2 linked regions of the Drosophila melanogaster genome follow. The protein of the gene in region 1 interacts with the protein of each later gene in a pairwise test. Each region holds a gene or a part of one and is shown in the gene's direction. Other genes may lie near its edges.

The links.
Region 2: the proteins of CG42500 (region 1) and CG7368 interact in a two-hybrid assay, tested with the Drosophila melanogaster proteins (one large-scale study listed by BioGRID).

What each region holds. Positions count from the first base shown.
Region 1 is NT_033777.3:14,151,704-14,154,803, reverse strand, and holds CG42500 (uncharacterized protein), read left to right. Parts: upstream 1-2,153; 5' UTR 2,154-2,251; coding exon 2,252-2,482; 3' UTR 2,483-2,593; downstream 2,594-3,100. Other genes in the region: CG31533 (uncharacterized protein), read left to right, coding at 1-47; CG44215 (uncharacterized protein), read left to right, coding at 372-488; Recs1, read left to right, coding at 1,045-1,839; CG14355 (uncharacterized protein), read left to right, coding at 3,005-3,100.
Region 2 is NT_037436.4:11,595,049-11,598,808, forward strand, and holds the start of CG7368 (uncharacterized protein), read left to right. Parts: upstream 1-2,153; 5' UTR 2,154-2,411; intron 2,412-2,963; exon of another isoform or gene 2,964-3,760.

The sequences.
Region 1 (3,100 bases):
TGCCGCGAAAGATAATACAAAAAATGAGAGCAAAATCAAGGAAATAATTGTATTCTTTTATTAAAAGTCAAAATGTAATAAGCGTGTTTTATTTCTCTTAAGCTACAATGGCAGCCGTTTGGAATTATAGGAATTAGTATAATAGTATTATAAATAATTTTATTTTATATTAGGGAGCACATTTTTTGTGATTGTTAATGACGCAATCCAACTTGTTTTCAAAGTATTGCTAAAATTCTATTAATACGAGCATAAGAATTTGATTAAATATGCTAATTATATAGAAATTATAAACTGGTCTCAATCGACTGCAAACGGTAGTATAAAAGCGCCATGCCAACTGTTAGACTGTATTCATTAAAGTTACCAAAATGAAGATCTTCGCTCTGTGCGCCTTTTTGCTCCTCATCCTGGCTGCCGTCCAGGCCAATAGTTCTCCTGAGACCAGTGCGATCTCTGAAGGGAACCTTAAGAAAACTGCTGGATAATTTATAATTTCACGAAAGCTACTTGAATATTGGAATAAATATTCTATTTAGCAGCAGAATTTGTTGTATTTATTTGTATGCCCTTGCAGAGGGTATAATGATTTCAGACAGAAGTTTGCAACGCACTAAGGGGTACATTTGCAACCATTTAAAATATGTATAAATAATAAGTATTAACAGCAGAGTGTATATAGCCATATAGTCATTTAGTTATCCGTAAGTCCGTTTTTGCTCAAATTAGTCACATATTTAAATCTTTACATAAAATTGTTGTTTGAATTTAATAAATACGCATTACTGCAAATGTATATAAGACGGAAGACAGTATTGGATATATATTATTATAATATTATAATATTGTGAATTTTCGAATTCTAAAGAAATGAAGTTAAAGTTATGTTTATGATAGTTACTAATTATGAAAAGAAGATTTATAGTTTCTAAGAAGTAAATTCCATTTAACGTTGACTCTTCTGTCATACTATACTTCAATTTCCGACAAAGGTTATTAAATTAAGAATTAGCAGTTACTTGAAAGTTGTGTTCGAAGGACACAATGCTGGATATTTTACAAGAACCAGTACATCAGTATGGAAATCGGAGCCACCAGGCGGAGTGTATTCCGCTGGGAAGATATACAGCTTACGGATCGGAAATCGGACAGGATGATCCAGACAAGGGCTTGGGATTCTGCAGCGCCAGCATCCGGCGAGGATTCATCCGGAAGGTGTACCTCATCCTGTTGGCCCAACTGATCACTTCCCTGGTGGTTATAGTTTCACTTACTGCTGATAAACGGGTGCGTCTGATGGTGGCAGAAAGCACCTGGATATTTGTGGTGGCCATACTAATAGTGGTCTTCTCTCTGGTGGCTCTGGGCTGCAATGAGGATCTGCGTCGTCAGACCCCAGCTAACTTCATCTTCCTATCTGCCTTCACGATAGCCGAGTCCTTTCTGCTGGGCGTGGCAGCCTGTCGTTATGCCCCAATGGAGATTTTCATGGCCGTGCTAATCACGGCGTCAGTTTGCCTTGGACTCACCCTTTTTGCTCTGCAGACGCGTTACGACTTTACCGTCATGGGTGGCCTCCTGGTGAGCTGCCTGATAATACTGCTCTTCTTTGGAATTGTGACCATCTTCGTGGGCGGACATATGGTCACCACCATATATGCCTCATTGAGCGCTCTGCTCTTCTCCGTTTATTTAGTTTACGATACACAATTGATGATGGGAGGCAAGCATAGGTACTCCATTAGTCCCGAGGAGTACATATTCGCTGCCCTAAATATTTACATGGATGTAATGAACATATTCCTGGACATTTTGCAATTAATCGGAGGATCCGATTAGTTGCATGAAATCTCACAAACACACAGATTATTTTACATCTGCAATTCGACGTCGAGTATTAATAAATCAAATTCAGCAGCAAGCCTATTTTACATTTACTTAAAAGCCTAAATATAGGCTTTAAAAATTTGGATATTTTTTATACAAAGCACAGTTGCCATAAATAATATAATTAAACTTGTTTGCACAAACAAATGCAGAAATAACAAGAATGACCGGTATTCAATGATCGCACCTGTTCATAATCGCTAATTAACGGGCAACCTATATATTGAAATACATTTCGTATAATTTAGTGTTTTGTGACCCAAAAAATAACGAAAAATTATAAAAAAAAAGATAACTGTAAACGGTTACGATATTAGGTATATAAGATCTTCCAGCACCTCAAAGTGTATCAAATTTTGAAACGATGAAGTTCTTTGCTCTGTGTGCCTTCCTCCTCATTGCCCTGGCTACCGTCCAGGCAACTCCCGGTGATCTGCGCCATGTTCCTGTAGGACACGGAGGACACCCAGTCAATGCTGGCCACGGACCTGTGGGACACGCTGGTCCTGTTGGACACGGTCCAGTTGTAGGCCATGGTCCAGTTGTAGGCCATGGTCCAGTTGTGGGACATGGTGTTCATGGTCATTCTGGCTGAAAACTTATCTGAATCCTACAAGGAGCGCAATGCAGACCTTGATGGAAAGAAACGAAGTGTTTGTTCAACACCTTCAGTACAGCATATCCTAATAAAATATTCGATTTATCGAAAACATATTGTGATTTTAAGATTTGGGGAAACAACAGAAAACCAGTTCAGCATTTAGAGGGCTTGCCGCAGATTTTGCATTGAGAACGTTGTTCAGAAAGATAAGCAAATGGAATCGAATAACTGGAAGTACTCATTATGAATTCCAAAAGTAAACGAAACATGCCTTGATCTCTGTCATAAGTGTTTGGTAGTCATTTTGCATTTGAAACTGGTCAGAGTTGGGCTTGTTTTTATATTCAGAACACTGTCTACCTCAGTTTTATTGTAAAGTTTAGTGTAGTAAGTCGTAAGATACTATTTCAAAAATCTAAAGTAAAAAAAAATCATTATAATTGGAACATTAATGACTCAGACTAGTTCCTCCATAAAAGAAAGCCCAGACAGACAGTAGAAATTTAAGATATCGAGATGGGACCCAAAAAGAAGTCCGTTGCTGTAGCTATTGCAGAAACTAAACCAGAAGACCAACCACCACCTGAAAAGGTGAAGCCAAAGAAAGAGCCC
Region 2 (3,760 bases), on another chromosome or scaffold:
AAGTTTTAGTTACTAACATTTAGTTCCTGTTTGAATCGTCCTGTTCAAAAATAGGATATATGTACTTGGGTCATTTGGATAGTGGCCAGCATGCAAGCCAACCATCTGTGCAACACCGAAAATTGTGGGTGTTTTTTTTACGCGTGGCACACACAGTTGCCCAATGGCGGGGCATGCAGCAAGTGGCAGAGGACCACCGGTCGTATGAGTTCTCCTCAGAAGGCCTCCTCCAGCCAATCTGCCAACTATACCACCCAACTCCAACTCTAAACTACCAACTCCGCACACTCGGCCGACTGCCGACCGGTTTTGTTTAGAATTTTAGATTTTAGCGCGTTTTAGAATTTTATGAATGAATTTTTGGCGCTCGGCAGTGCTCCGCCTGCCTGCCGGGTAATGCTCCCCTTTTTTTCCATACCACCAGAAATGGTTGGACCACTCCGAATCGTTTGGCTCGATTCACTTTTAGTTTTTGGCTAGTTTTCGGTTCCCCATTTGTTTTTTGGGGGTGTCGATGTGACCTTGCCGGGGTGTTCCGGTGTTGTTTAGATTTAGTTTCTATTGGGCTACACTTCTGCTGGTCCGTTTTTGCAGTTGGCACAAATTGTGCATACAGAAGTTTAAGGGCCTTAGACAAAAGTCGGTCCTGTGCCCGTTTTTTTTTTTACATAAGAATATTGATTTTATAGTAAATGTACAGATTGCGGCACTTTAAAAGGGCAATGAATTGAATATAAGTAATAGCTGTTAAATATACGATTTGTATAATTGCATTGAAAACAAAGCATATTTTTGGCTTCAATTATGAATTCTTCTCAAATATTAAAAGTGAATTATTTTTAAAATACTGCTTATTGCAGTAATAAAGTTCAAACCACCAAATGCAAACCAAATAGTCATCCTCCTTTTTCGACACAAAATTCATTTGAATGACTCATTGTTTATTTCAACAATTAATAAATAATATTATTATTATTATTGTTCGCTGTAGACAAAAGAAAGATTCGACCTAAGCTTCTGTGGCTTTCGTCTATAATATTTCAATATTCATATATCTACTCGTACATCTGTAGGAATATAGAATAATAAATAAATATAAACAATAATTCATTTTCTTTACATAAAAATGATTTCTTCGTGGTCATTTTAAGATATGGCATTGTATAAACATGGGAAGGAAGAATGTGCACTCATCGTTGAGCTCCTTGAGAAAAATAAATCAATTTCAGAATTTAATTGCTTGTATGCAGATAGGTAAAGAAATTCATGTATACATATATCATCCTTACTAAAGTTTAACACATACCATACCCATCAAAAAAACGAATCAAACGCAGTGATTTGAAGACCGCCCTTAAAGCTAAACAAAGAGTGCTTTTTGTGCACATTCATATATGTAAATCACATAAACACATAAGAGCACTTATGTAAATTCTTATGTACTGCAGTATTTTAGTAGGTTTTGTTAGATTTGATGCAGGCAAAAATGCCTATTAAAAATGCGTTTGAAAAAAACTGTTGCATACCTGAAGGCGAGCGCTCAAATTAACTAACGGGACACTGAAAGTTGCAATGAGAGAATATGCACTAAAGAGAGAAAGAGAGAGACACGAATTCCAGAGAGCACAGCATCCTAGTGTGAGAGAGAAACCCGAAAGGTGCCGAAGTTAACCAAAGTGAGATGAGTAGTGACGAAAGGGAGGATACAAGGGGATTTCAGCACTAGATGTAAGGTTATAAAAAAGGGGGGCGGTGTTGAGGGGAGCCTTCGGCACTAAGCCGGCGAGAGAACAAATACAAAAGCGAAAGCGAGTAGCCGGCATAGGTGCCCGTGTATGTGTTCGAGAGAGGGAGGAGTGTTATTCCTGCGTATGTGTGTGTGTGTGTGTGTATGTGCACATACATATATTCGCACTGATGTGTGTGTCGCCGTTGTCGGCAATTTAAAGAGTAAATAATTGTCTGCCGCCGGCAAACATTTGACCAAACTGCTAGTCCACCGAATGTGCCACGGTATTGGTATGGCTTGCTACTTTCGGCATATGTATTGGTGCCGAGTATCGGCTCTTCGTCACCAAACTCTACACAATTTTAGGCGCCGGACGAACGCACTTTCAATCAGTTAACTTTATAACGTCAGCGCCGACACTACGTTATCCGGTCCAATCGCATCAAATCGAAACAAATTGAATCAAATCCGGCATTAAATTTTGCACTTGTATTCGTTGCCGCGCTGCGATTTACGTCGCGTTGTTACTTTCACGCGACCAATTCGACGCTCAACGTCAACAAAATCGCGTGAAATCGTGTGTCTGCCTAGTGTTTTGCAACCTGTATTTAGCATGTTCCTAACGTGCTTTTCAGCCAAAGAGCCGGCAAATGTGAATAAAGCGATGAGCAACTGAAAAACTGTGAGTACATAGCACTTTTCGTACATGCAAATCACTTAAGGGAAATTAATCCAGCAAATGGTCATTTTGTGAAGCACACAAATGTAAGTGCCAAAGTTTAGTTTATTAAATGACTCGTGGCGATTCCTTATTGGTGTACACTGTGCAAAAAACTATTGGGAGCGAAACTATTAAAACAAGAAGTTCAGTAGTGTGTCTAATGTGTCCATCAGATACTCTATACACATTTAAGAATTATAATCTTAACCTTTCTGCTTAGACAACAATTATTAACAATAAAACTTTTTGATGACTGATTAATTTCTGTAAGCATCTCCAAATATTAAAAAAAAAAATCCTAAAATGTTTTTAAAAAAATAAAAACATCAATTTTCGACTGAATCAAAGTGTAAAAAAAGGATTAAGGAATTTAAAATTTTTTATTTTAAAATTTAATGAAAAGGATTACTTTAAAGTTTCTCTTGTCAAAATACATTTTTTCCCCAAAAACACACACCCATTTTGTTAGATATATTCCACTCTCGAAAGTCTGACGAACTTCTTAAATCAGGAAATGCACTTTCGTCAGAATGCCGGCTACTTAATGCGCACACAATCGGGCAATAAATCAGCATTTAATGTGCCTGCATTGAAATGCGGAGTCAGCCGACATAACGTCATCGACATCATATGACCGCGTTTCCGAATTTCCCCGAATCTTGTGTACGTGCATTGTGTGTCGGCCCCGGCCCCGAAATACGAAATACGGAATACGGAATACGGAATGGAATACAGAATGCACGGCGCAGCACAGACGACGGGTCATGGCCACGGCCACGGCCACGAATATGGCATTTCGGCGACTCCGGTTGCGGATACAACAACGGCTCCGGCTGCAAACTCCCGGCTCTGCCGTGCGTCGCAGTTTCACTTTCACGGCGCAAACACAGCTGCGAGGGTGGCGGAGATCTGGGCCGTGGGAGTTACGGGTGTTTTGGCGGGCGCGACTTGCACTCAGCCTCACAGTTTGTCTTTCCGAAATCGGCGGGTGCACAGCCACGGACACGGACACGGATACGGATGCGAATACGAATACGGACACGGTTACGGCCCACTCGAACTGCCAATGACAATGCCGCACAGTGGGAAGAAACATATTTTTATTGGACTAAGCTAAAGTCTTTACTATTCAGCAATTATCTTGCTAGTTATAGACGATATTTTAACGGAGACCCATCACATTACGTATGCGCAATATTATCAAGTATACGCCGCGCTAAGTACTAAAATGGCATACGAATATATTTTTCCCCTTCAACATTTGATAGAATTTAAAAGAAACGTTATTCACCCATAACATTTATCAACAT